Xenopus tropicalis: one gene and its partners. The protein of the gene in region 2 purifies or fractionates together with the protein of the main gene of each other region. This does not show direct contact. Links are inferred from orthologs where the notes say so. Each region holds a gene or a part of one and is shown on either strand. Other genes may lie near its edges.

Region 1 (10,313 bases), on a different chromosome or scaffold from region 2:
CCATTGTTATCATTAGGGTGTTTATTCTTGTTGTGCTTAATAACTGAGGCATTCACTGCTTAACAGAATGTTCATCTCTTGCCTTGTATGGAATGTTAGCAAGCACATCAGAACCTTCTTTACGTAATGGAACATCAAGAAAATTCCTATTCTCTATTTTCTAACCTTAAGATTTTTAAACTCACAATACTTGCAAAACTAGTAAAGAGTGATCCTCACTGTTGACATGCGAGGGACAGAATTTTCCCTTACCCTGTACTGCAAAACTAACACTTCAGCTGCTTCAAGTGCATACTGGAAGGCCTTAGGTTAGACTTACTTTGGTAGTAATGTTCTAATTTTTATCATTTTCTCTACACAGTAAGTTGCATATTTTTACTTGGTGCAGATACTTGGAGAGACTGGTTAGACCAGTCTCTCCTTTCATGAGGGCAAAAAAAGAATGTAAAATGTGACAATGTTTATATATTCAGCTTGTTCTGTAATAGTTGAACTATTTGTGATGCCAATACATGAAGAAGAGAAACAGGAGCATAGCTTCCACATCTCTTTTCTTAAAGGAAAACTATACCCCCAGAATGAATACATAACCAACAGATTTATTTTTAACAGTTTATATCATGTTACGTGATCTATTAAAGATATATATATCAGTAAATATTGCCCTTTTACATCCTTTCCCGTGAGCCCCACCATTTAGTGATGGGCTGTGTGCTCCCTCAGAGATCACATGACCAGAAATAATGCAGCTCTAACTGTAACAGGAAGTAGTGTGGAAGCAAAAGACAGAACTCTGTCCATTCATTGGCTGATGGAGCCTAGCATGTGTGTGTGCCTTGGCTTGTTTGTGTGCACTGTGAATCCTATAATCTTAGGAGGCGGCTCTTTATTTTTAAAATGGCAATTTTCTATTTAGGATTACCCAGTAGCACATACTACTAAAAAAAAGTATATTCTGAAAATTATTTAAATGAAGCAGGGTTTTACATTGAGACTGTTCATGCAATTTTATTATATATTTTAATTATTTTATATAGAGACCTACATTGTTTGGGGGGTATAGTTTTGGTTGTTGCCTCTTTACAAACTTCAATGCAACAGTAATTTAAATGAGTACCAATCCTACTACCCAACAGTTTAGAGGCCTGGATCTAACCTGGAGTTAGAGATGTGCAGGTTGACAGTCAACCTGAACCCGCCTGCCCCCCACGCTCTGCCCGGCAGGACACCTTTATTTATAGACCTGCACTCGCCCCTCTTTGATGTCACAAAAGAGCCAGGGCAGACACGTGTCTATAAATAGAGGCTGCTGGAGCCAGAGCTTAACCTAAACCCACCCTCACCCCACAAATACTGTGTGAATGTCACCCCGAACCCTCCTGACCTGTGGGTTTCAGAATCACTGATAATCTCAAAAAGAGCTGCTGAGTTTGAAAGCATGCTATTAGCATAAAAACTAGCAATATTCTTCATTAGACTGTTGCACTGTGCATAATTAATATTTGCAATTAAGTATTTAAGGCCTGCCTAAAGTTGCTGTACAAAAAAAACCAACTTATTCTTAGTAAGAAGTTTTATTACATACACTGCACACTAGGGATGCACTGAATCCAGGATTTGGCCAAGACTGCTTTTTCGGCAGGATTTGGATTCAGCCATATCCGTGCTCATGGCCAAACTGAATCCAAACTGAATTTGAATTTGAGCGAAGGGAAAATTGTCTGCACAAAGCATTTATTTTTTCACATTTCCAATGAAGACTTATTACATTCACCCCAATCACAAATTGCAAAGGTGCTTAGATGGCCACTCATGGGACTATGCAAAGTACCCATCTATGAAAAAGGCAACAATGTATGTTTGGTATATAGGTTACTTTATTAACAATCCTTCATTTGATTGGCAAGCACCACAATAAGTGGACTAGAATCACAGCTGTTTGGAATTAAATATTCACACCAGGAAATCCAAAACCAAAGTCCAACTTTAAATTGTCATAAATTGTTCTGACTCCGTATTCCTAAAAGTAGTACCCAGAATGAGAGTTAACACCCAAAGAGCGTTACTGTTTAGAGCAGACAGAGAGGCATTTCTTCCATAGAAGCTAGAGAAAGTCACAGCATCTACAATATTACATTGGCTTATAAATAAGAACAGGAGGCTCCTGGCAGCAGCAGAAAGAGCAGCCATGGTTTCCAGTTAGCCAATGGCGCATGTTAGTAGTGATTATATTCTTCTGAAAAATACTGCAGAAGTTGTGCATATACTGGACTGGCAAATCCCGTCTCTATCCTTCCAGGCCTGCACTAGTCTTTATTCCTCTGTGCAACTGTCTAGAAGGAAGTCCAAACAATGCAACATATATGGCAGGTAAAGTAATCAGAGTACTGTGCACATACTAATAAAGGTGACTAGTGTCCTGGCAAATCTCACTGTTTACAAAAAGACTGGTTTAAAAAGCAGTGCTCCAGTACTTTAAGATAAAGGAGAAGTGATTTAAATAATATATTTGTGTAGATGTGTTTAGCTAACTGTGTGTTACCTGACTGCAGGAAAGATTTGCAATTACAACTGTTTCATTATCTCTGGAATTCTACTACATAAACTGGCATTTTTGTATTTTATCTGCAATAGAAAAACTGCTGTGTCTCTTGCAAACACTGTAACAGGGGAATCCGTAAACCACACCCACCCCAATGCCATTGCAAAATGCAGAAATAAACCAGGAAAGATTAATTCTAGGTATGAGAGGAGCTGAAATGGAAGTAGCATATCAACATACCTACCCATAATATCTTGCTAAAGGGTAAACTAAAGGCCGCATCAAAAAAAACCCACCCAGATAGCCACTTATAGTGGATTAATTAAAAAAACAAAAAAATGAAGACATCACAACTTTTCTCAAAATACCATCCCTGCAATTGCTTTAACTTTGTTTTGGTTTTAAGACAAAAACATAAAGATGAGTGATAAACACAGTGCTATTGTTTATTTCAGTACTGTTTCTATGTACATTAAATCATGTCTGTCCCATTTGCAGGATTTCACAAAGATTATGATGTGATTTTTAATGTAATTAAATGTAATGTAATCCAGTGACCTTTCATACACACACACACACATTTTTAGGTTTAAAAAAAAAAAAAAAAGGAGGGGGTCCATAAACACAGAAATATACATGTGGACAGATAATTAGAATTTTTAGAATCTGAGTTTGCTTGAATATTTCTGGGTGGTTTTGCCATTTACACAAACAATACATGCAGCAAGCCACACATACACATATATATATATATATATTGCACATAGTACAGCTTTCCAGCTTATTACACTCAAAGAAGTCAAGGTTTGCCATCCCGACTCGTGCTCATCCTTTTGCAACTTTGATACGCAGGATCACTAATCTCCCATTATACACTGGTCGTAAAAGTGCTAAGCAATCAAGTAAAGTTCTTTCTATAAGCTCTCATTACAAATCTGCTTGTTAAACTGGTAACTTTAAGATAGAAACACAACAGGATATATGAAAGACTAAAACAAACATGGATTATGTCAGCTTCATTCCAAGTTATCTTAGGCATGCTTGTCTTTTAATAGTGCTATAATAAAATGCAAGCATTAAGCCCTAGCCTAATGGCACATGTGGTCAATACTCTGCTGCCTTTTTGCAACTGGCTGAAAAGTGTCTGAACCTGTCAGTGGAGGCTTTCACAGTCAGGTTTGGGCAGTTCTCTGCCAGTAGAAAAATGCCAGCAGGAAATAAGGCATGTGTGCCATCAGCTGATGCCTGATTTCGCTGGGTCTTAATAGTCAGCAGTAAACTCAGTGGATGGGATCATATATTTTCTCAATGACCCTCAGAGGTGCAAGAACACTTAGCCCTCAACAGTGAAACAAAAGAAGTCTAACTTCCAATGGCATGTGTAAAGAATTTTTGATTTTCAAGTAGCTTCACAGCCTGGCATCATTTCAGACACAAATGCATACAAACATTAACAACGAGGGCCTGTCAAAAAAAAAAAATTAACATAATATATATATATATATATATATATATATATATATATTTTATGAGAATACGTTTTCTTTCTGTTGATCAGAAGTGCCTTAAAGATTTTTGACATTTCTGGGAAATATTAGTCTATCCCACTACTGGGTATACAACGATAAAAACAGTTTCTTGGAATGAGAACAAAATCTTAATACATTTTAACAATTTAACATGAACTACCGGAAAATGTGTGTCTAAATGAGGCACATGGAATTGGGTATGGCAAACAGTATATTACAGTGGGTCAACCAACCAAAGGTGCCAAATGACACACATAATCCAAAGCATCCAATGCAATATGCCCAAATGGCACCAGCCACAAAATGAATATTTCTCTAAGAACAGGGTTAAAAGTGAAAGGAAAAAAGTTTTCAGTTAAGACTAAAAACGCAAACTCTTTGCAGATACAAGTCATGGAAGTTAATGAGTATTATCAGTGGCACAGTACTGACAAAAAAAAAAATCAACAAAAAGAAGAAATGCCGATCTGTATTCACCAATTTCTCTTCCAACTCACTGTCTGCACAAGATGATGCCGCACACTCCTCCTTTTCCCTTGTATATGTCGTAGAGAGATACAGTAGAAGTCCACTAGGGATGGAAGGATGAGAGAATAATGAAGAGGATAAGTCATCGCGTCCAAGGGAAAAGGCTTCTTTTTAAAGTCTCTTTTCTACAGGATGCTACACATGTGAAACAGTAGTGCACTATTTTCCTCATTCTTGGACAATCCTCATGCACTAGAAAACACTACTTATTCACACAGCTTGGCCATGACAGTCCCCCACATGCTGCTGACACAATAATGTAGATGATAACCTATAGGAGAAGGGAAAAAAAAAAAAGATAAATACATTTTGCATAATAAATACTTGACTATTTGCCCACATCTAGTAACCCATAGCAACCAATGTAAAGTAATGAAAACCCCTATTACGTTGCATTTACCAAACCACTTTAAAAGCAACAGCAAGTGAGGAGGAGAGCAGCACTTACTATGGTTACAATAGCAATTATGATGGTCAACTTCAAATTTTTCATGCACATAGCTCTGGCCAAGTTTCTGCTTGTGGTCTTGAACGTGACAGACTTTAAGAAAGTGATAAAGAATAAAATTTAGTCATCAACATAATTTGAACACTAGCATTTTATAAAATGAATAAAAGGACTAAGAAATCGACATAATTCCAGTAGAGAAAACAATTTTAAAAACAGTACCAAATGCATACTTACAGAATCAACAAGGCTTTCTGTTTTATCTATCAGTAGCTCTAACCGTTCTCCTCTTTGGGCAACCAGATCTGGAAATAAAAGGCAAGGTAAATCTGTGTCAGAGAAGTGACAGTTTTCAGGCTCCAGTTTTAGGATCAAACATAAATGTAGATTCCAAGTGTTTTGTCACCTGCCCAGCTGGAAATTGCAGGGACAACAAAATGCCCTGAAGTGCTCCAGGTGGCATTGCCCTTTATATGAATAAATTACTTTAATTTACTGTTCATACTGGTCAGCCCAAACCTGGCCAACTTGTGCATCACTAACATACAGGGCAGAAATGCAATTTTAAAATGTGTATAAAGCATATCATAACGCCCACATTTTTTAGGACCCAGAAACCCCTGCTTGTGCCACTGGCCTCAAAGCCCAATAACAATGTAAACAATGTTGATTTGTCTCCCAGGGTTTTTTTTTTTTTGTTTCCTCAAACATGTAAGCAAAATTCTCAAAAATGGCATCTGTGCCAATCTCCTAAAGAACAGCTTATAGATTAAGCAAGATTAAATTAGTGCAATGAACTATGTCCAACTTATGTTGAGTCCCTTATCCGTATTATTAGATTTAAATCCAGCGAGAACATCATCTGCAACAAGTCTGCATATTTTCCCTGTGCTTGTGTGGAATTCCTCCGTTTCTCCAGTTTCCTCCCACATTCCAAAAAAGACAGAAATGTTATTTGGCACTGATTACAGTGTGTGAATGCTAGGGACCTTGGACTGTAAAATCCCCTGGGACAAGGGACTAATGTGAACAATGTAACATCTCTGCAAATAACTGTCAGCACTATATTATATGAAAATGGATATACAGTAATAATAAAAACATTAGAGCAAACATGTCTGCAGTTTGTACTTACCTATATTTCGGACCATAATTCCTTTAAGTTCATCGACTTGTGCTTGGGTCTCTGCTACACGATCAATACTCTTATTTTCAGAATGGTATTTCTAATAAAAGATAAGAAATATGTATTATAAATGCCCTGTTAAAAAATGTAGTCCACATCATGACTAAATATGTACTGTGAATGGATAGGTGTTTACTTTAAAGCCATACAGACTAACTTCTTATCACTTTGGTTATTATATTAATATATGCTTGCCCAAAAAACACATGTAATACCTTTAGTGTGAATACCTACAGCATGCCATATAAGAAACTTCTTGTACAACTTTGATACTTTGTTATAACTTTCTGAATGGTACAAATATAATTATGCCCAAGTCCCTCTGAAAAAGTTAATGTAATATTCAGCATTTGCAGACAGAAAGAGCATCTTCAGCTGTGCAAGAAGACTTATATGGATGGACCACCATGTATTGTAGTGCAGTCATTTCTAATGATTTTGATAGTAACGGATATCAGAGATACTCTCAAGAGTTTCCTGAAAATCTAGGCACTTTCACTACCTGTAGTGTACTGGTAAGGGACCTGTTACCCAGAATGCTCTGGACCCGGGGTTTTCAAGATAAGGAGTATTTTGTAATTTGCATCTCCATACTTAAAATCTACTAAAAAACATATAAACCTTAATTAAACCAAGTAGGATTGTTTTGCCTCCAACCAGGATTAATTATATCTAAGTTGGGATCAATTAAAGGTACTGTTTTATTATTACAGAGAAAAAGGAAATAATTAAAAAAAAAAATTAAATTATTAGTTTAAAATGTGGTTGATGGCCTTTCTGTATTTCAGAGCTTTCTGGAAAATGAGTTTCTGGATAAGGGATGCCATCCCAGTACTCTACAGAATTCCTCATCCATAGGGGATCAGTCTCCTATCTAGCCATGACTTGACACAAAGAACTATTCTAAAAATTACCCGAAAGGCCTTCTGTACAGGTTAACTCTGCTGAAAATGAGCAGCTATAAATATTTGTTTTAACAAAGTGTCTATACAATTAACTTACTAACACATCACCTTTGTGACAATCAATCAATCCAATTTTTGTGTCTAGTCCCGAAAACATACTAATTACAAAAAAAAAAAACACCACAAGGATCAAGGAATGTTCACACACTTGTGTCTGTTGTGAATCAAGATCACATGTTACCATGTGACAGGCTTAGAGAGATTCTATTCATAATCAGTTAATGCTCTCAAGATAATTAACTGGATATCTATAAGGCACTGTGTGAAAGGCCATTTGCTTGCAGCTAAGCAAACCCAGGTACTGCCGCTTTGCTTTTCAAATTTACCTTCAATGTCTAGTTAACATTGTAAATGGTACACAGATGTTATTCATGCTGTTTTGCAATTGGTCTTTATTCTATTTTCTGTTATTTTAATTATTCACCTTTGTATTCTGAAATATAAATCTATCTGGTTAGTAGGGTCAGTAATCCAATAACAAAAAGCAGATTGACAGTGTACGAGGATAGATTTGCATTATTACACATTATTTTATTCAGGCCAACTTCTGTTGTTTAAATCCCCACCTGACTACTCGATTCACTGACACTAGTATCCAAACAGCAGTTTAAATGGCAAACTAAAGAACTACAGAACAACCAAACATGATGAATGGCACAATCTTGTAATAAGACTGTATACAACATACCAAAATTACATTTTAAGATAAAATACCCCATTAACAGCACAAGGATGTCTGTAACACAAAATGTCCAAGAATGCTCCTGAGGTTTCTTACCAACTGTGCTGCAATCACACTAGAAAATTCACTGTTCATGGCATAGGGAAGTGCTGTCTGTGCCCTTGATCCATATGTTGTCTGAAACCGCTTCTTAATTTCATTCAAGAAATTAAATGCTCTGGAACGCTCAAAGTCCTGTCAAAGCAGAATCATGTATTAACAGGGAAGCTAGCAGTAGCTCAGGCAAATTTGCAGACTGCCTGTACTAGTGACAAAGCAAACTTCAAAGTTTACAATCGTAAACTGTAAAACACCAATTATAGACCTAACAGTAAAAGACATATGAAGATGTAGCAAAGGCATATTACATAGAATCTCTGAGCTATAACCAACATGGCTATGTGAACAAAATTAAATAGAAGGAACGTCATTTTGGCATTTTACTGCCAAAAGATTTGCCACATTAGTGCCACCTAGAACAATATATTTATTCTGCAGAAACCATTACCATACCTGAGTAAACAGCTTTAGAAGCTTTCTCCGTTTGCTTAAGATAGCAGCTGCCATTTTAAATAGCTTCCTGCCTGCAGTCTAGTTATAGCTCAGATCACACATTCCTAAGGGAGGAGGGATGGAGTTCTTAGCATTCTTGTAGGAGGAGAGAGCAATAGAGGGGAGAGGAGAGAACTGTGCAGACTATGGCCACAGGAATTGAGGATGTTTCTGAGAGAGGAAGTCAGACACTGGAACATGTTTACAAAAAAAGACACAAAATCCTGTGTTTCTTTTGATAGAGAAGCAGCATTACTGTGAGTGCTTAAGGCTGTATTTACATAGACCTTTCTAATAAAGCTTCCTTAGTTTTTACATTTTTTTCTTCTTTATCAAACATGCTTACAAGAGGATCATTTCTGGTACTTACATCATCAGTTATACAAAGGTATATTATTCTGTCTTGGCAAATGTAATGAAACAAATAGCTGAAAAGGAAGTACAGAAGCAAAATTAGTATCTGGTACTTTTTTTTTCATAACATTTGCATTGTGCAAACAAATAATAAGCACTTAAGACTGATTGAATTAGAAAAACCAAATAAGGTATAATACGCTTACACCCAATTAAAAAGTAGCAGCAAACTGTGTACTTAATAAAACCTAAAGACAAACGATGCTATTAGGTTAAAAAAAGATATTACAAAATGCAATACTTCTGCCAAGCATACAGTATCTCAAGATTGTTCTTGAGATTAAGTTATAAAACTTATGCACATGATATGACAAAAATAGAACACTTAAACGGATGTGAAGACTTATTTACTAAGCATAATTTCAACCACTAGGCTCATAAAATGTGCACTATTTAGCTCTATATTTGTCAGATTGGCAGAACCTGCATGAGTGCTTTCAGCCACACCTGTTGCTAAAAATCATAGCAGTTGAATGAGATTCTACCTCATGGAGTGGTAGTGGAGTGTTCAACATTAGTAAGCAGCAGTGCTAAGCACTGTCACTTGTATAAATACATGCATATCACTTGCAGTAACAAAAGATTTGAACAATTGTTTTACAAGCTGGAAATTATATAGTGCTGAAAAGAAACTGTGGGATCATGATTTTTATGGTATACTTATATACATCTCTTAATTACACTGTTTACATAGCAAATAATTCACTCTACCATTTAAAATGTTATTCTTGAACCAACAAATGTATTTTTTAGTTGTAATATTGGTATGTAGGCCCAATTTCAGTGCATTGTGCCTTAGTCTGAGCTTTCACATTAGAACTGCTTTCAGGTAACCTATTGTTTCTCCTACTCCCATGTTCTGCTGATCGGCTGCTGGGGGGTGGAAGGGGGGAATATCACTCCAACTTGCAGCTCAGCAGTAAAGTGTGATTATCAGAGCACAGATTACATGGCTATGGCACCCTGGGAAATGAAGAATATGGATAGCCCCATGTGGAGAAAAAAAAAAATCTGTTTGTGTTTTTGAATAATGGATTTCAATGCAGGATTCTGCTGGAGAAGCTCAATTAACTGATGTGTTTGAAAAAAATATGATTTCCCATGACAGTATTCCTTTAAAGAAGAACTAAAGCCTAACTAAAGAAGTAGGGTAGACAAGTTGTACATTATATTGGGCTTCTGTACCAGCCCAAGCCAACCACAACCCTTTAGCAGGAAGATCTGTGCCTCAATCATGCCCCAGTAGCTCCCCATCTTCTTTTTTGCTGATTCACTGCACATGCTCTGTGCTGCTGTCAATAACCTGAGCTTAGGGACCAACAAACAATATACTGTATATATACAGGCTATAAATCACAATACAAGGCTGATCAGTGAATAATAAATTATTAGTACATGGCAGCTCTGAGCCAAGTGCAATTAGCATGG
Region 2 (10,413 bases):
GGCCTGTCTAGGATTCAAACGCTTAGCAGATTCAATGTACAAGAGATTTTTATGATCAGTGATTACTGTTACTACATGTTTGGCACCTTCCAAGGTGTCTCCATTCAGTAAATGCCAATTTTATGGCCAGTAACTCCCTATTACCAATATCGTAATTTATCTCCGTAGGAGAAAACTTCTTAGAAAAAAAACCACAAGGGTGAATCTTATTCGTTACAGGATGCCGTTGAGACAGGACTGCCCCTGCTCCAATTTCAGAAGCATCTACCTGCAGTAGGAAAGGGAGAGCCGAGTCAGGGTGCAGGAGTACAAGCGGAAACAAAAGCCTCCTTTAATAGTTTAAAGGCTGTTAAGGCCTCTATTGGCCAAATGCTTGGATCAGCACCCTTCTTAGTGAGAGCGGTAATTGGAGCCACTAATGTAGAAAAGTTCTTAATAAATTGTCTGTAATAGTTGGCGAAACCCAGAAATCTCTGTATCGCCCGTAGAGACAAAGGTTGTACCCAATTTACGATGGCCTGAACCTTGACTGGATCCATTTCTAGACCTTTATGGGAAATAATATAGCCCAGGAAGTGAACTGAAGAAACTTCGAAGATACACTTCTCAATTTTTGCATACAAGTGATGCTGCCTTAATCTAGATAAGACCTCCTGAACATGGGCACGATGATCAGAGAGACTATTAGAATAAATCAAAATATCGTCTAAGTACACCACTACAGAGCGACCTAGAAGATCACGGAATATGTCATTCACTAATTCTTGAAAAACCGCAGGGGCGTTACATAACCCAAAGGGCATTACCAGATATTCATAATGCCCATCGCGGGTGTTAAAGGCAGTTTTCCATTCATCCCCCTCCCGAATTCGTATTAGATTATAAGTGCCTCTAAGATCGAGCTTAGAAAAAATGGTGGCACCCTTGACTCTATCAAAGAGTTCGGAAATCAAGGGAAGAGGATAACGGTTTTTAACCGTGATTTTGTTTAAACCCCTGTAGTCAATACATGGTCTGAGACCCCCATCTTTCTTTTCTACAAAAAAGAACCCTGCTCCTGCTGGGGAGCAAGAGGGCCTTATAAACCCCCTCTCCAAATTCTCTTTTATATACTCTTCCAGAGCCTGGGTCTCGGGTAGAGATAAGGGGTAAATTCTACCCTTAGGAGGAGAGGAACCAGAGATTAAATCAATGGCACAGTCCTGTGTGGGGGAAGAGTCTCGGCAGCTTTTTTAGAAAAGACGTCCGCAAAAGGGAAGTAAGGAGCAGGTAGCCCCTGTAAAGAGGTTGCGGCCAGAGCCTGGACGGGTTTCATGCATAAGGTCTGACAATCTGTTCCCCATTGGAGTATACTACTAGTTAACCAATCAATCTGGGGACAGTGCTTACGCAGCCAAGGGAGACCTAGGATCACTGGGGTATGCGGGCAATCTATGATGAGAAAGGAGATTTGTTCCACATGGTGTGACCTTATGGACATGGAACAATTTACGGACTTAGAGGAAATAAGCCCACGACCCAGAGACGTACCATCAATGGCAACTAGCTTGATGGGAGGGAATAAAGGAAGTGTGGTTATTCCGTGCCTGCAAGCAAAATTAGAATCTAGGAAATTCCCTTCTGCCCCAGAATCAATAAATGCCAAGCTTTCCTCACTACTCGTCTCCCATCCCAAAAGGACCGGAACCATGACTTTGGATAAACTAGGTTGGGGAGTGGAAACGACATTGCCCAAGCAGAACTCCCCAGATCTGCTTAGGCTCTGTCGTTTCCCGGCCTTTTGGGACAAGTACTACGAAAATGACCTTTATCCCCACAGTACAAACACAACCCATTAGCCTGTCTGCGATCCTTTTCCTCAGAGGATAAACGGGTAGAACCCAGCTGCATAGGTTCTTCTGAGGGCTTAGAGAAGGCAACCTCAGGTCTAGGTATAAACTCTGTATGAGAGGGTTGTGGAGAAGCTGCGGATACTTTCTCCTGACGTCTCTCCCTGTGCCTCCTATCAATTTGAATGGGCAGATACATTAGGGAGTCTAGGGAGGATGAGGCGGGAAAATTGATCAGGCTGTCTTTCACAGCGTCAGATAGCCCGATTCTAAACTGACTACGTAAGGCAATGTCATTCCACCCCGTTTCTACTGCCCAACGGCGGAATTCAGTACAGTAATCCTCAACCCGTCGTTTACCCTGCCTAAGGTTACGAATAGCGGAATCAGCAGAGGCAGAACGATCAGGATCGTCATAGATAATCGCTATGGCTTTAAAAAAGGAATCGAGGGATGTACGGGCTGGATCGGAGGGTGGTAAGGAAAACCCCCATAACTGAGGATCCCCAAGCAGTAGGGTCATAACAAAATTAACCTTCAGCTCCTCCGTGGGAAAAGAACGAGGGAGGAAGCTAAGGTACAACTTACATGCTTCCTGGAAAGCAAAAAATTTACTACGCTCCCCAGAAAACTTTTCAGGGAACGGGACCTTAGGCTCAAATACATACATTGCTGAAGCTGTGTGTGATGAACCGCCTCCTGGGAGAGAAGCGGGAGTAGGAGCGGCAGGCTGTTGTTGGAGCGCATCCAACCTTTCAGATAGTCTCTGGAGCCACTGGATAATCTGGTCCTGCTGGGCTTCTTGTTCCCTAAGACGCTGGAGGAGATTTGCTCGAATCACTTCAGGGGATGGAGGTGACGCAGCAGCCCCTTCAGGGTCCATGTTTAAGGGCCCAACGTAATGTCACGATCAGTATCCCAAAACCCAGAACAGACTCCAAGGACCCGGTCTCGGCTCACGCTTCTGCCTATAACCGCCACCTTTCACGTCGGGAGGAGCCCTTCGCTACTCGGATGCCGCCAGGACTTGTTGTTAGAGACCCGAGGAGAGAGTTCTGAGCAGGCACGGGAACCAATTGTATGACAGGAAGGTGGGGGAACACAAGCGTAGTCAGGACGGGCCGGGGTCAGCAACAATCGGGCAATGCAGTACAAAGTCAGGATCCAGTAGAATAGTCGGTCAGGCAATGGTCGATTCAGGCAGCAAACAAGAGAAGGTCGGGTACAGGCTAAGGTCAAAACACAGCAGGAACACCAGAGAAACACACCCAGGAACTTACAGGAAGCAGAACCTACGTTGGGCAATGATTTCAAGCTAGAAGCACCTTAATTATTTGAATTTGGCGCCATCGTGACGTCATATGCGCGCGCCGAGCGTAGACGCGCGTGCGCATGCGTAGAGGCGCCGGACGCGAGCGCGCATGCGCACAAGGCAGAAGCCTTAAAGGGCCGCACGTCGCACGCGCCCGCGCCTAGGCCGCCCCACTAGACCACCAGGTACCCTTACACCTACTTTCTATGTGTACTAGTACAGAATATCTTACAACATTAGGCCTCATTTATGATATCAAGTGCAATATGGAAAATGCACTAATATAAGCAAAAGTGAGTGCAAATTTACATTGATGTTATTTGCATTCATACAAACTCATTGTCTGCAAGTACCAATGTGCCCCTTCAGCATGCTGTGAAAAATTACGTACGTAACATATGTAACATGTGTTCAGCATTGCCACAAAGGGTTTCCTTACTGGTTTTATTGATAGTTGCAACTGACTTCCACCAAGTGAATCAGACACAAATTCTATTATTAATTCTGCATGACGGAAGTCATACCATAAATTTTGGTAAAAAGTGTGCACCACTGGGAAATTTGAGAAAATATAGGACCCTGGCTAGATGCCAACCCCAGTATATCCCTACCGGACGATTATCCCACACACAACCCTTGGTGCACTGTGACGAGCTGGTATAACATGAAGTTTTAAAACTGTCACTAAGTTTATAATGTAACTGATTGTACCTAATGATTATGTAAGTACCAATTTATTTTATCTGCTTTTCTTTTGTTTATTTGTGTTTGTTTGTAAAATGCAAAATAAAAACCTTTAAAAAAAAAAGTGTGTACCGCAACTTCTGTGCATACAATACAACTTAACGTGTGCCATTAATAAATTTTGGGCAACAACTAATGCATGAAGTTCTCTAACCCTTTTTAGATGTTTGTTTTATTAATTAAGGCATGTAAAACACATTTAAAAAATATAGACTTTTATTTGGTCTTATAGATTTAGATTTATAGATTTATGGGCAGGATACTTAGGTGTGTCCAGAACATACAGTGCATACAGTGAATTCATTCTTTAGTTCAACAGTGAATATATCGTGTATGTTGTTTTGTCAGTTTGTTACGTGGCTCTTTGCTGCTGATGTACCTGTCAAGGTAGGCATTGTAGCCACCCCTCCCTTTCTCTCCTTTTAGTCCTACCTCTCTCTCTTACATCTTCCTGGAAGGATTAGGGAGGAGCTGTGTTTGTGAGAGAACTGATCAAAGAGAGAGGCAGGGGATTTACAGGGAAACAGCAAGCGAGTAGAATCAGAGAATTAGTGAATCACAAAACGAGGAAGAGAAAATTGACCTCTAAAACAGTTGCTGATCTATGACATTTTAATGGAGCTACATTAAAGAATGGTACACAGAAGGTACACAGAAGAAAAGAATGTTACACTCTGAAGGACAGATTAAGCGTATTGCATATTCTGTTCTCAACTAACACTGGAAAAGGGAACAGATAAAAAAAAAAGCTTTGAAAATAAGCCAGGAGATTACAGAAACGTGAAAAAGAGAAACAGTGACTTTCACTAAGAAGTTTCTTCATCATGAAGGATCGGCTAGATCAACTGAAAGCGGTAAGTCCACAAATCAAAGTAACAGGCAATTGTTGTTAGTGTATGGGAGTTAAAAGGTCTTAAGTGGTTAATAGGAAATCAACATCCACAAACCAGTTTTACAGGTTATTTTCTTGGAACCTCCCATGGCCACAGTAATCTATTTAATGACAAATGTGAAAATTCTGCCACCTGGATGTAAATCTGTCCATCGTTTTTTATGCTTAAACTGTACAATGTGTACTAGCTTCTGTGCCACCAATTAAGTTATCACTAAAATCTAAAATTCAAAGTATCAGTGTACTTGTATTTCCAATGTACAGTTGTTGTATTTGATGACTGATTAACAAACTAGATTTATTGGCTAACTAAAAAGATTATGAAACCATTCACAGAGAGCTGTTTTTCTCACTTAACCATTAGCCTTTGAATTATTCAGTGTAAGAATATTTAACTGTACATTGCCTTTACTTTTTCTCATAAAGGTAAAAATATGGTAAAGATAATTGTGTGCATCAGTATAGTATGCTACAATTTTTAGCAGATTTACTTGGTATCAGCCTCTTCTTTATTTTATTCAAGATATAACTGTTTTGTTTTTTGGACTTGTATGCATACAGAGTTATTTTTCTTGCTACACTGTGTGGTTTTCCCTTCCCCCATTACACAGTTTAAAAAAATCCTTAATAACATGTTATAGGTATTAGAAGATAATCCACTGGCCATCTGCACCAAGAGAGACAGACGCACAGAGAAAAGAGACAACTAGAGTGAGATCAGAAAATAGCCAGCTGGGAAACATTCAGAAATGAGACAAACCGATAGAGCAGCAGAGACAGAAACTGCAAGAATAAAATGATGATATAGACTGGTCACGGGATAGCCAGAGGAAACATGAGTCACATAACTAGTGGCAGAGGACAATAAATAGACTTACAACAGGCTACGTGACATAACCAATAACAAGTGCAAGAACTACAAAAAGATTTGTTTTTTTTTTTACATTTTTTTAAATCTCATTATTATGTAAATAATGTATTGTTTGTTTTATTTTGTAGACAAGAGACACTGATGATCAAGATGAAGTTGACATCTCTATTGACAATGCAGCTTTTATGGATGACTTTTTTTCTCAGGTTAGATCTGATATGTACACATTAAAGGAATAGTAACACTAAAAAATGAAAGAGCTTTAAAGTAATAAAAATATAATGCACTGTTGCCCTGCACTGGTAAAACTGGTGTGTTTGCTACAGTAACACTAATATGATATATATAATAAGCTGCTGTGTAGCCACAGGGGCAGCCATTCAAGCTGGAAAAAAGGAGAAAAGGCACAGGTACATAGTAGATAACAGATAAGTTCTGTAGAATACAATAGTGTTTTATCTGTTATCTGCTATGTGCCTGTGCCTTTTCTCCTTTGAATGGCTGCCTCCGTGGCTACACAGCAGCTTATTTATATAAATTATAGTAGATTTTCTGAAGTAAACACACAACTTTTACCAGTGCAGGGCAGCAGCACATTATATTTTAGTTACTTTTATACACTTTCATTTTTTGGTGTTACTGTTCCTTTAATGATGAGCAAAAGTCCAAAGTTTTGTTGTGCTGAACTTTTGAAGCAGTTTCGTGAAAAAAAATTCCAATGGCAAAATTGCTCATCACTAGTACACATGCTACAAAAACATAGCTCTACATGACTTATGGGCATGTATAAGTGCTCTGTAATTTTGAAAGACACTTAGGGGCAGATTTACTAATCCACGAACCGAATCCCGAAAGAGAAAAAATCGTATTGGAAATGAAAATTTTGCAACTTTTTCGTCGCCGTCACGATTTTTCGTATTTGTCGTGATTTTTTCGTCGCCGGCACGACTTTATCGTATTTTACGCGACTATTTCGTCGCCGTCTCGATTTTTTCGCATTGAGCGATAGTAAACGGCGGAAAAACCAATAAGATTTTTTCGCGATGGCGACGAAAAAGTCGCGGAAAATATACGAAAAAGTCGCGACAGTGACAAAAAAAAGGCGGGACATACAAAAAAGTTGCAAAAATACCGATCATTACGAAAAAACTAATTCGGACGCCTTCGGACCATTCGTGGATTAGTAAATCTAAGACCTAAGACACTTCCTACTGAAAAACTGCTTCCTGTTTTAACACATTTTACATTGCAAGGCTGTATTGGAATCAAAACATATTTGATAACAGGCAATGTGAAAATCAGCTTACACGATGAAATGTTTAGCTGTTCAGCTTAGCAATGGCTATACACTACAGATGTTTCTATGTAGAAATTTATATGTGAAGCAGGAAAAAGGTTTGTTTTTTGGGTTAGATGCAAATCCTTTCTAAAAGTCAAAGAAATATATATGAAACAGAGCACTGGAACAGCAACATAAATGATACCAGATGACACATACATGTAAACTAAAATTACACAAAAACAAAAAAGAAACACTGGGATAAATGTAATTAGAAAAATGTCAAAAGGAAATTTTGAGCCATGTATATTGGGGGCTCATTAATAACCTTATTATTATTATTATTAATAATAATAAAAATTAGGGTACACGTTGACCATACAGATTTACATACAAAGCAACCAATATCCGTAATTAACAATATACAGGTATAGGACCCATTATCCAGAATGCTCGGGACCAAGGGTATTCCGGATAAGGGGTCTTTCTGTAATTTGGATCTCCATGCCTTAAGTCTACTAAAAAATCAATAAAACATTATTTAAACCCCATAGGATTATTTATATCTTAGTTGGGATCAATTACAAGGTACTGTTTTATTAATACAGAGAAAAAGGAAATCAGTTTTAAAATTCTATATTATTTGATTAAAATGGAGTCTATGGGGGACGGGTTTTCCGTAATTCGGAGCTTTCTGGATAATAGGTTTCCGGATAAGGGATCCCATACCTGTACAGGTATGAGATCCCTTATCCCGAAACCCATTATCCAGAAAGTTCTGAATTACAGAAAGGCCATCTCCCATAGACTCCATTATAAGCAAATAATTATCATTTTTAAAAATGATTTCCCTTTTCCCTGTAATAATAAAACAGTACCTTGTATTTGATCCCAACTAAGATATAATTAATCCTTATGGGAGGCAATACAAACCTATTGGGTTTATTAAATATTTAAATGATTTTTAGCAGCCTTAAGTTATGGAGATCCAAATTACCAAAAGATCCCTTACACATAAAACCCCAGGTCCCGAGCATTCTGGATTAAAGATTCCATACCTGTACCAGTGTAATCTTATTTGAATAATTTTCTGAACACCATTGTAACTGACTCAGCCTTATCCTATTTTCTATGTAATGTGCCATAGCTTTATTCACTCTTTTATCTGTTTAGATTGAGGAGATTCGTCAGAACATTGAGAAAATTGCAGAGTGTGTTAATGAAACAAAGAGGCTACACAGTGTGATCCTGTCTGCACCTCTCCCTGAGCAAAGTAAGTAGTTGCACTTAAATTAATACAGATACAAATATACATATGCCCTTAATTCATATTTCTTTAATATTTTATCTTTAGAAGAAGGAAAAGTGCTAAGTGTAAAATATGGCCTAATCCCCCGTGTTTTATACACAGTGTAACATATTTATTGCATGTACAGAATTTTTTTTGTCTTTTGTTAATCATGCCCAACTTGTGTTTATGTCAATATACTGTACATATACATTGCCATTTTCTAGGCACTTAGTAGACATTCAGTTATACACACTACAATGAGGTTGGTATTAAGATAGTTTAAAATAAATAAAATAAATACTGTGAGCGCAGCACACAAAATTAACCCTTGATGTAAAAGGTGACAAAACGCAGGCGTAATTTCTTCTCTGCCTACTGGGTGCTAAGCAATAGGTATTTCTGGTGCTACAATATTTATGCTTAGTGCTGACATCGAACAAATACTTTTTGTATGGTGTTTTTACATATGCTAGTTTGCATCTGTTTTTATGCACTGTTACTGCACCTGCTGCTAGAAAATGAGGTCCTGGAAAAAGAGTATGATAAGAGAGTGAACTGATGTATAGGGGTGAACTTTTTTACAAGCGTAGGGACCCATAGGGTTAAGCTCCCTATGGCTTTATCCCCAACCTCTTCACACCTTTACTGTTATTGGGCAGAGCCCTTATACTCAGGTTTCAGTTATGTAACTGTATTCCTTGTAGGTTTATACAGGTTGACCACTCCTCTTGCAGAAGTGGCTTCCTCTTTGGCTGCCTGTCTGCTACCTAAGCACAGCTCCCTCTGAGCCTGGGTGCAGCAACAGGCCCCAGAAAAGCCAATTCTATCCCAGAGACCCTCTTAACATCTGGAGAAGTCGGGGACAGGGCCCCGTGAACGAGGATAAGCCAGCACAGCAGAGTATTTAATAGCACTTTCTAGGAAAGTGAGCATAGTCAGCTCTAGCTAGAACGGGCAGCCATTAGCGCCACCAAAGGAGTGATTAGATCCAGGAGTAGTTCTCCTATCCGGCAATGTTGCCTCAGTGCAGGGCCACGGAGTAGAGATAGTGGCAGGTAGGATAACCCCTGATCCCTACTCACCCGATGGACCCATCCACTAGAGGTTATCAACCTGAAGGAGCTCCTTCTACTTGGACTACCTCCCAACGGGTACTGGTTGAAAGGTGTGTCTCCCTGCCCAGACTCTAGCAAGAGGTGGGATAAAACGGTGCATACCCTCTCTTCTACAAAAGTGCATTTCCTCATTGTACCATTGCAATCTGCCTGTCTGTGAGTATGATAACCCTGCATAACATCTGTGTCTTGGACCAATAAATCTGTATTATAGTTTATCAGCACCTTTCTGGCGTCCATTTATATCATCTGCACTACACAGTCTCAGAAAGTTGTAGTTCAACTACCCCCTCAGCTCCTATCTTACTTTCTCCCATATAGCGGAGGCCCATCCTGGGAAAGGGGGTCGCATGTAACACATGCTCTACATTATCTACTAGCCTGGATTTACCCCACTATAATCAAAATAGTGTTACACAAGGTTGCATTAAATTATTGGGAACAGGGTGAAATATGTTGGTGCTTTATAAATATGTGTTATAATAACAGGGGGCCTCACCACCTGGGTGCAGTTGAGAACAGTACTCACTATTATACAGGTTGGTTCAGTGTAATAATATGTACATTTTTAGGCAATAGCACACAGGACACAGACTTACACTGTTAAAATGCAAAGTGCAGTGTAGATCAATACCTATGCAAGTACCTTTTTAGAATTTAAACAGATTACTGTATATACTCGAGTATAAGCCTAGTTTTTCAGCACCCAAAATGTGCTGAAAAAGTCACCCTCAGCTTATACTCGAGTCGGGTGCCATGGGTCCCTCTAGACTAGCACCCTTTCTCCTTTGTGTGCAAATTAGGTCACCTGCAACCAGACCCTCCAGTGCCCTGGCCTAGGTTCCCACTAGCAATACTTATTTCCCCTTACATCTCCTCCGGGACCGGGTCTGCTGCCAGTTTGCCAATGTGCAATGACGGTGGGGTAGTACTCATATTGTTTTTGTTGACCCTCTTCTCCACATACAGAGCTAGTTTACTGTTTTTCTTTGAAATAAATATTGAAAAACAAATACCCCACTGATGCCTCAATTAATGTAATTTTATTGGTATTTATTTTGATTACTAAAACTTAGCAGT
Region 3 (10,413 bases), on a different chromosome or scaffold from region 2:
AACAAGGCACTGAGTTTAATGCAGAAAAGCATATCTTTATCAGATAACAGACAACCTTAAACAGTTTCCCAATGTTTACTGTGGTATTAATCATAGTAATAATATTCATTATTTAGAATTCTATATGTTGGAATGAGAACAGCCACATTTATTTCCTCTCTCACAGTTAGAGGCCTCTCTGCACAGCCCGGCTCCTTTGTGCTCAACCCACACGAGCGGTCTGACTATCAGGGCCGGACTGGCAAATGCCAGAGGGGCTGCTGTAAGATGCCATAGACAGTCACTATTTATTGGGCTGGGGGGGGAGCTGTTTGGGCCTTGGAGTACTTCAAATCCCAGGGCCTATTTTAAATCCTAGTCTGGGCCTGGACTCTGTTGTATGCAACAGGACAGAAAACCAGGCTGGTCAGCCTGCTCTGATCATACAGGTCAGCTCTATTTCTATGGTGACACCACACCCTAAATGAAAAGGAAGGATGGCCCCTGCCATTTCCTGTAGCTTTCCCCACACACCAACGAGGGTCATCAGCCAACAAGATCTTCAGCCTGACTGCAACCATTTCCCATCATTGACAGAATGGGCTGCACGCAAAGTGATAGATAAGATCATATGTTACTGAATGTAAAGCTGGCCATACACGCACCGATAATATCGTACGAAACCTCGTTTTGTACGATATTCGGTGCGTGTATGGCAAGTCGGCCAGGTTGAAAGATTTTGGTCGGGCACCATAGAAGGCGCCTGAGCAAAATCTGCCATCAGGGCTGAATTGGCAGAAGGAGGTAGATTGTTTTAGATTGTTTTTTTATTGTTTCTACCTCCTTATCTGCCGTTTCAGCCGTGAAGGTTAGTGGCGGATTTAACGATCTTTCGTGCGACCATCGGTTGCAAATCGCCACCTTAACATTATATTCTCTACAGATGCAGACTGCCTTGCCTTAAGGGGGCCATACACGGGCAGATTTAAGCTGCTGATTCGAGTCCTTTACACCAGTTTGGAAGGTTATCAGCCTGACGCCCTACAAGCCTCCTCGAACAATATCTGGCTTAGGTGGGCATATTGGGAAAAGATCCACTCATTTGGCGAGGTCCAACGTGTATGGCCACCTTAAAGGGGTGGTTCACCTTTGATTTAACTTTTAGTATGTTATTGAATGGCCAAGTTCTAAGCAACTTTTTAACTGGTCTTTATTATTTTTTTTTTTTAGTTTTTTTAATTATTTGCCTTCTTCTTCTGACTCTTCCCAACAATCAAATGGGGGTCACTGATCCCAGTAGCCAAAAAACTATTGCTCTGTGAGGCTATAATTTTATCGTTACTGTTGCTTCTTATTACTTATTTTTCTATTAAGGTCCTCTCCTACCAGCCTCTCATTTAAACCACTCCGATTGCTAAGGTTAATTTAAACCCTAGCAACCAGATAACTGCTGAAATTACAAACTGGAAATCTGCTAAACAAAAAGTCAGAATTACTCTCTACATCAGGGGTGGCCAAAACGTTGATGGCGGTCCACCAGTCGATTTCCCATGGACTTCTGTTGGACTGCGTCTAAGCCTTGAAATGCGGCACTTTTATGTGGTGTGCATATGTATGCTGCGTCGTGTACGTACACAGGGAGGAGCCAATTGCAGTGCTAAAAAGTCTGGGCACCCCTGCTCTACATCATACTAAAAGTTAACTCAAAGGTGAACAACCCTGTAAGCCACTGTCCTAAAGTTGGCTATTCACATCTAGATTTGGTTGGGTAGATTTGCTTAAGCAAATTAACTTTAGCAGGAAATTGTGGCAGAGCTTACTGCAATCTGAACTCCATAAGTTGAATTTTGGAGCCATACTGTGATAAAGTGTACATATATGGATCTTTAGGGTGTTACCACACCCTCACATTTTAGGCCCATTCCATTTATAATATAATGACTATAAAATCTTATACACTTATTTATAGGGATATATAATTCCTATACCCTATAAATATGAAAATATTAATACATATATATATATATATATATAGACACATGTTCATCAAGTGCAAGCAGGCCTGGACTGGGAGTCAAAATAGGCCCTGGAATTCCAAGTACACAGAGGCCCAAACAGCCCCCTACCAGCCCAATAAATAGTGACTGACTATGGCATCTTACAGCAGCCCCTCTGGCATTTGGCTGAATCCACAGATTGCCAGTCCAGGCCAAGATATGAAAACCCCCTATACAAACTAATAAAAGGCCCCAGCAGGCCACTTTGTTACTTAAGTACAGTCTCTATTTAAATTCCTTTAGGTTACATCCCAGAATGAGTCCCCATGCTGTTGGACGTTGGCCACGAACAGCCCCTTTAGAATGTGACATTATTTATTACAATAGAAATTATAATGAAAATGAGGGGCACAAATGTTTCTAAATCAGTTTTTGGGTCATGTGGCTAATTCTCTAACAAAATTTAATACCCTTAAAAAACAAAAGATTAAGAATCACTGCATTAAACATATCATTTGTTCTATGAGGGATTGTCTCGGTAATTCCTCCCCTGCATCGTCCTCAAGACAATGACGCACACACTCTTAGGCCGCACCCCCAGAACCTGCTAATAACAAACAGGTTATTCAATAATAACAGCTTTGTGCAGCTGATAATAGTTAGGGATCAGCCTCGCTGCCTAGGGAGGGAGGATGCAGAGAAGAGAATAAAATACACAAGAGAGTACAGTAAATACCAAAAAATGAGAAAGTATTCTTTGAGCTACAATATAATGTCAATGACTTAGGGCGTTATAAAGGAAGAAAGTGATCTGCACAGAGGTTAGTAAATTAAATGTACACCTAGGAGAGAGGGACAGGCTGGAAAAGTTTCAGGATCTAGTGGTAAAAGGTTAGTTCCCCTTTAAACCAACACTGAATATGATTTAAACAATGATATTGTGAGAATTTTCAACTGGTCTTTTTATGGTTTATGGACATTTTTTTTGTTTTTAGAATTATTTAGCTTTTTGTTCAGTAGCTTCCCAGTTTGAAATTTTAGCAGCTATCTTGTTGCTAGGGTCCAATTACCCTAGCAATTAGCCACTGGGATGAAAGAGAGATTGGAAGATGAATACAAGCCTGAATAGATAAGAAATAAAAAGTAACCATAATATTGGAGCCTCAGAGAGCAATAGTGTTTTGGCTGCCAAATCCCCATTTGAAAGCTGGAAAGAGCCAGAAGAGGATGCAAATAACTCAAAAAAATGAAGACCAACTAAAAATTTACTAAGAATAGGAAATTCTATTCTATTCTTCCCCAGATGGAAGAATTTGTATTTATGTATATTTTTATTCATATAGCGCTCCTTAGGCAAGCAGTACTGTTGCGCAGTAATTAAACATTGCATGAAATTGTGCTATAGCGCCCCTCTATGGCTGCAGCCTGGTGGGGAAGTATTAGGCGTGCACCAAATCCAGGATTCTGATCCTGGGATTCAGTAGAAAGCCGGCACTTTTCTAGCTTCTCAGACAAGACAGTTGGTAATGAAAGACATCATTAACTTGATCCCGGCTCCCGCAAGATAAGGGTTACAGCACCCTCCTTGGCCTATGTGTCACTGTCACAATTATAGCCAACCTGACGACGTCATCCCATGTACACACCTATCTGCGTCCTGGAAAGTCTGAAATGTCTGCTTAACCCATGCACTGCCTGAATCCCAGAGAGGAGGGCCGGGCACTGATCAGATTAGAGAGAGAGATGATGACTGACACCCTATATTCATTATTGGAATCTGAAGACTTGAATCACTGTTTACACACAATGCAAAGGAATCTGCACACTCACACTGCGTCTGTGCAATTCCCAGCTGTACACACGTCCCGACAGGTGCAGCCATGGCACAATGGTAACCATTAGTGATTAATAACAAAGCGCCCAATAAATTATGGTGCCGACACGAGCAAATGCCACAAGATACAACACACATTTACCTATGTTCATCAGTTGATGCAAATTCATAATAAATGCCTCCAGATGTTGTCAAACTACAACCCCCACACCCAGCAAGATGCTAAGATCCACACGTTGCTCATTCCCTAGTTTGCGCCATATATTTTTACAGCAGAAAAACAAATAACACAAAATATCTGATACTACAGAAAATATTATGTTTTGCCCAAATCAATGAACTTACAGAGCCAGCAGTTAATATGTAGTCAAGAGGATAAAGAGCCTTTGTATAGTCCAGTTTCCCCCTTGCCTGAACATTACAGGATCCCTAGAAGTTTTTTCTTTATGGATAAATAACTTTTTTTATACCGATACTCATGCCATACATACTCAGCAATACAGGGTTAATGTAATAACAGGTGCAAAGTTTGCCCCAGTAACCCCTAGCAAACAATCATATTTATCTTTAGCAAATGCCCCTACTAATTGGTCCCTATAGGTTTTTAGAAGTGGAGCAAACTTTGCACTTGGTAGCCCATTACCGCCCAGTACTGTGAAACTAAGTACACAAGCAATTTCCTTTATTAACCACAAACTGCCCTTCAAAAGGAAGATGCAATAACATATAAAGGCTGCCTATTGCTGGGGCTCCTAGCTAATGCCCTGGCTCTGATCTATAATCCACATCCCCAGTGGCCCAGAGAAGCCCCATACATTACTGTTCCTCCATACATTACTGTTCCCCCATGCCCCTCTCCCCCAGTCTGTCATTATCCTCAGTAGGAAGTAAACAGCCCGATCCAAAGTCCAACAGGGATCTAATCTCCTTCATGTGCCCGTCCTGCTAATCTCTCTGCACTCTCCTTCTCAAACCCTTATTGCTAAACGCCATTTCCTCCTGTCTCCCTCTGTACAATGGTACATTCCTGCGCCCCCCCCCCCCCAACTTCATTCCATTGCCCTAAGCATTAGCTACCGGCCCGACTTCTGTCTCCCTGCCCCTACCCCTCACCGGCACAGCAACACTTTCCCCACCTTCCCTGCATTGCCAGGGACCCTCTTATGGAAACTATAACTCCCAGCCCCCCAACCAAGAGCTGCCAGGGAAGTGTAGCAGTTATAGTTCCGCAAGAGCTCAGGCGCAGAAAGTTGTTCCAACCTAAGTTTTTCAATGCAACAACATTTGGGGGTCCCCAAGTTTCTATCAGCCCCGACCGTACTAACTTTCTACACTCCCCCTCCTCCCTTTAACCACTCACCGGCCTCCTGTCCATGGCTGTCTGTCCCTCTGAATCTGCTTAAGGGGAATTTGTTATTCTTCCTGTTGCCTGTGACTTATGAAAGCGATCCTTCCTCTTCGGGCTGCTCTCCCTCCCACCTCCGGCCCCGCTGCTTCTCCCCTCCCCGCAGGGCTAGTGGGAGGGCCCTCCTCCAGGTATTGTGGGCGGGGCCCCAATGGGGACAGTTTACCTCACAATAGTCGTTCCTTGCTAAAAAGAAAGTAACAGGTGCTGTTTGTGAGGCACAGAGTCCCTAGAACAGAGTTTTCAAAGGAAAACGGGTTATGTTCTATAATTCTGTTGAGCCTGCCCATCAGTGGCATTTGACAACCCAAGAGTGAATAACTATATTTTGTGCCCCTGAGCAAAGCTACAGCTAAACTCTAAGGCATGTTCAGGTTTTAACTGTTCAGTTTTTAGCCTTGTAAAACCTTAACAATAATCTGGCCAATAAATGAAAAACATTTAAATATTAAGATAGTCAACATGATTTTTTTTTTCTATTAATAGTTAAAAAACAATTTCTTGTTACTACAGAGAGAAAAAGCAAGTCAGAAATAAGGCATCATTCTTCTAAATTAGCACTGCGGTACTTCAGAGCTTTCTGGATAACTGATTTCTGTGTAACAGGTTCCATTCCTTTAATTACAGGATTGGACTTACTCATCAGGCAAAAATATAGATAGAGCTAGGGTTGTCACCCTTGTGGTTTTGAACTGGACATCCCAGGTTTTCAAAGGTCTGTCTGGTTCAAAACTGTCTGTCCGGTTTGAGCCATTGAAAGAACTGGACAGAAGTGCAGCCAGTTGTGTGTAAGTGATGCAAAACCCTGCTCTGGCATCATAACCTGGTGTGACATCATTGTGCCTGCCTCTGATGTCATCTCACCCACCCCCAGCATCACTGCCCCACCCCTGATGTCATTTGCCCCACCCTTTTTTTCAGGTTTCGCCACCAACAAAGGTGGCGACCATAATTTCAGATAAGAATGAAATGAAATTGTCTATCAGTCAGTGACCATGGGCCCTCTATACATCCTGTGTCCCCAACAACTGTAGGGTTTGATCTTCTGTAGTTGCACCCCTGCTGTGGTTTATTCTCCTGTCCTGTCACAACTGAAATTGTATTTTCACAGTGGTTCAGAACAGTTGTGGTGTTTTCTCCATTAGTGGAGATATGTAGCAATAACTTTAGTTATATTTAGTTGTATGAAAAACAGTGTAGTGTTAATGGTCCCTTAAGCCCAGACACCCACCTGATAGTTCCCCTTTATTCTTTTTCCATTTCATTCATTATGGCTAGTACCACACTGGGCAGATTTTCGGTCTGATAGTTCATATTGCTTCGTTGCGTTGGCCAGGTATAGCCACACTAAATGGAATTTAGCTAAAAACTGTCTACGAATGCTGAAGGGGGATAAAATGTAATATGCAGGTTGATATTTTACTACAAAATCCCATTAGGTCCTGCAGTTGGACTGGCCCACCAGGATACCAGGAAAACTTCCGGCGGGCCCAGGTGTCAGTGGCCCCTCTTGCTTCTAACTATTTAGCCTATTTCATGGCCATTCCCTGTTTCTGTATGGGAACAAGGAAGCTTGATGGATGGAAGAATAGAGTATAGTATGTAGAGAAAAGAGACTAGAATAATAAAGAGTTTGAGGGAGGAGAGGAGGACTTAATGTTTTGAGAGTGGGCCCATGGTTCAGGGTTTTCTGGTGGGCCCCTGGCATCTCAGTCTGACACTGAGGTCCTGTGTGTATTAGTGGCAAGCAGGGAGACTCTTTGGGTTAAAATGAGCCCTTCATAACAGTCACTATTTCTTTGCCAGAACTACTTAACAAACAACTGCCCAGTGCAATCACACACTCACAGGCTAGTGCCACACAAATGCCTTACCGAATAAACCACATTGATTACTCTACACTACAGTATCTAGTAGAATTAAGTCTAAAACAACTGGACTTTTCTGAGTTTTTTTTTTTACTCTAGGAACAGCAGTTACATCTAGGTTGCTGCTCACCTTCCTATTACGGCTCAGTTGATAATATAGCTCCTACACATACCCAGCCCATCCCTGCCAATTGCCCAGTTTCAAAACAGAAAGGGGTTATGGTTGGGCTACATCTGGGTAGGGCCCAGGGGCGGGCGATCAGGCGCCCTAGGCAACCCGGCCCTTGCACCTTCTCCCCCCACGCGATAATTCATTGCCGCCACTGCGTAATGACAAGCGGAGGGGGCAATGACAAAGGAGTTAGGTGTAGGCAGGAGAGGCTCCTGCCTGGCGCCCCCCAATCGTTGCACCCTAGGCAGCTGCCTCTTCTGCCTACCCCTAGTTCCGGCCCTGCCTTGGGGCTGAATTAAGCATGTTCCTCACTGTAAGAAGCTGCATTAGAAAGGTTTATGCCAGGTAATTCAGAGAAAATCATACAGTCCTCTACAGGGAAAGGGCGTACAAGTAAAGGTCAGCTGACATACTTGGTACTGAATTTGGTAATGAATTTAAGATACTGTAATTTCCCAGCAGGAAACAGATATAGCAATCACGTGAAGAATTAACTGCTTGTGATTCCTATCTCAGCAACCACTTACTATGAGCCTTCCTAGTACAGTGCAGTGGCTTAGCAGCAGTTACATAAAGCAGTTGTTGAGGGAGCATTATGGCATTATAAAAATGCTCTGGGGCGTGGGTGTTAACCATTAGGAACAGCAAAGTCCATATAGAAAAACACAAAAGCAATCCTGCACCTCAAAGAAATTATAGGTAAAAAAATGTTTATGTATTTCTCAATATTTAAAATAATAAATCCCTTTGCCTTATACATTTAATGCCTTCACAACACTTATTCATAGGAATTGAAGGTCTTAGTGCTTTGTACCATTAAGCCCCCGAGTTTGATTCTGTTCTGGGCACCATCCTCCCACAGCCCAAAAACAAACATGCATGTTAATTGCCTCCTGATAAAGTGACCTCTGAGTGTGATGGAAAACTTAAGGTGGCCATACACGGGCCGATTCTAGCTGCCGATATTGGTCTTTTAGACCGATTCGGCAGCTTATCGGCCCATGTAGGGGCATCAAGGATGGGCCTGGAATCAGGAAGATATCGATGGGGCTCGTTGATGCGGTCCCTGAACCGACTGTGCCCATTACCGTTGTTATAATTCGATCGTTTGGCCCCAGGGCCAAACAACCGAATTAGCCTAAATTTGCCCAATATCGCTTGGCGACCTCACCAAACAAGCTGATCTTAATGTGTATGGCCACCTTTAGATTGTAAGCTCCATTGGGGCAGTTAGTCTCTGTTAATGTATCAGTGCAACATAAATACAGGATAATAACAAGATTTATAATAATGTCACAAAAGAACACTTTCTTAATCGCTTAATTTACTGCCAATGATCATGAATGTGCTGTGTCCAACAGCTAATTACATGAATAAATATGGCTCACTATTGCATAACAATGATTAGTACTTAGCACGACAATCACACCCAGCATTTCTCTCTGCAACATTTCCTGTAAGTTTCTGCAGCCTATGCTGTGTGGTGTGTTCGACTGAGTGGAAAATATAGAGTGACCAGACAGTGTGGGCTTATGGTGGGGAGGGTGGGGGTATGGGAAAATGGTTTGAGAGAAGTAAAATAGATACTGAGGGACCAATAATGGCTTAATTTTCTTAGTTCATATTGCTCTAATAGTAAATGCTATTCAAACATCAACAAAAGAAATGGGATTCAGTTAAGGCATTTTAGGTCAATTCATCAAAGGAACAGTAACACCAAAAAATGAAAATGTATGAAAGTAATTCAACTATAATGTACTGCTGCCCTGCACTGGTAAAGTTGCGTGTTTGCTTCAGAAACCCTACTATAGTTTATATAAATACCCTGCTGTGTAGCCCCGGAGGCAGCCATTCAAAAGGAGATAGATACAGATAAACCCTGTAGAATACAATGGTGTTTACTCAATACACGTTGAGATCCGCTCGCTTGGCGAGATCGGCAAGCAAGCGGATCTTCACCCGATATCCCCACCTACGGGTGGGCGATATCGGGAAGCGTGTAGGTGAAAAAAAAAATCATTCGATCGGTTGGCCATGGGGCGAATTATATTGGCGTCAATGGGGCAGTCGGTTCAGGGACCGCATCAACGAGCCGATGCGGTCTCCGATCCAACTGAATTTTCTAACCTGGCTGATCGATGTCTGGGCAATTTTATGCCAGGTATCGGTCGGGCAGGCCCCTCATTTCTGCCCCTACACGGGCTGATAAGCTGCCCAAGGGACCTTAACTCCTTTTTTTTCAGCTTGAATGGCTGCCCCCATGGCAACAAAACAGCTTATTTATATAAACTATAGTAGTATTCCTGAAGCAAATACACCAGTTTTACCAGTGCAGGGCAACAGTACATTATATTTTAAGTACTTTAAAATGCTTTCATTTTTTGTTGTTACTTTTCCTTTAAAGGGGAACTCCACCAAAAAAACAACTTCAGCTTTTTGAAAAGTAAACCTAACTTCAAGCAACTTTGCAATATACATCAGTTAAAAAATATGCAGCCTTTTCATGATTTTTAATGTAATAATATGGTTTGGAACAGTTCCCGGAGCCCCGCCCCCTGTTCCCCTGCTGATCTGGCTGACTACTTTGAGACTCAACAAAAATCCCACAACTTCCTGCATGTGTGTTATCAATAAGGAAAGGAACATCACAGTGCAATGCATTGTGGGTTATGTAGTTCCTGCTGTAACTATTGCACAATGAGATTTAGAAACAGCACAGAAACCACAGTACTTCAGTATGAATTCACCTTTTATTGGTGCGTATCACAAAATGTTTTGGGAACTTATCCCTTTTTCAAGTGATGATGATATGCACCAATAAAAGGTGAATTGCAGACTGAAGTACTGCGGTCTCTGCGTTGTTTCTAAATCTCATTGTGCAATTGTTATCACACTGTGGATGGTGTGTGTTGAAACAGCAGAAGAAAAGGAAATTTCTTGGATTTCACTCTTTTTCTGACTAAATTACAATTGTAACATCAATGTTTTAGTCCCTCCTCCCTGCAAAGATTTCAAATGATGCAGAAAAAGAAGAACTGTTTTGCAGCTGGATTTCAGCATATAAATTGGTATTTCTAGTTAAGGTGCCCAGAGGCCACCCCCTGTGCCATTTAATCAGCTGTCATATTTTGAGTACAAGTAAAATACTGGTAATTAGA

What was found.
Region 1: the proteins of stx3 (region 2) and vamp7 purify together in Homo sapiens (co-immunoprecipitation; 3 studies listed by BioGRID and IntAct, with this or other methods). This does not show direct contact. The link is inferred for Xenopus tropicalis from reciprocal best matches to the Homo sapiens genes STX3 and VAMP7.
Region 3: the proteins of stx3 (region 2) and vamp8 purify together in Homo sapiens (affinity purification with mass spectrometry; 4 studies listed by BioGRID and IntAct, counting the BioPlex papers as one, with this or other methods). This does not show direct contact. The link is inferred for Xenopus tropicalis from reciprocal best matches to the Homo sapiens genes STX3 and VAMP8.

What each region holds. Positions count from the first base shown.
Region 1 is NC_030684.2:65,379,842-65,390,154, reverse strand, and holds the end of vamp7 (vesicle-associated membrane protein 7), read right to left. Parts: intron 8,900-10,313; coding exon 8,842-8,899; intron 8,115-8,841; coding exon 7,977-8,114; intron 6,274-7,976; coding exon 6,183-6,273; intron 5,353-6,182; coding exon 5,285-5,352; intron 5,141-5,284; coding exon 5,048-5,140; intron 4,871-5,047; coding exon 4,802-4,870; 3' UTR 1,860-4,801; downstream 1-1,859. UniProt on the Homo sapiens protein: Involved in the targeting and/or fusion of transport vesicles to their target membrane during transport of proteins from the early endosome to the lysosome. Required for heterotypic fusion of late endosomes with lysosomes and homotypic lysosomal fusion.
Region 2 is NC_030683.2:60,557,019-60,567,431, reverse strand, and holds the start of stx3 (syntaxin-3), read left to right. Parts: upstream 1-4,506; 5' UTR 4,507-4,709; coding exon 4,710-4,739; intron 4,740-5,776; coding exon 5,777-5,854; intron 5,855-8,100; coding exon 8,101-8,200; intron 8,201-10,413. UniProt on the Homo sapiens protein: Potentially involved in docking of synaptic vesicles at presynaptic active zones. Apical receptor involved in membrane fusion of apical vesicles.
Region 3 is NC_030679.2:125,646,869-125,657,281, reverse strand, and holds the start of vamp8 (vesicle-associated membrane protein 8), read right to left. Parts: upstream 5,209-10,413; 5' UTR 5,186-5,208; coding exon 5,171-5,185; intron 1-5,170. UniProt on the Homo sapiens protein: SNAREs, soluble N-ethylmaleimide-sensitive factor-attachment protein receptors, are essential proteins for fusion of cellular membranes.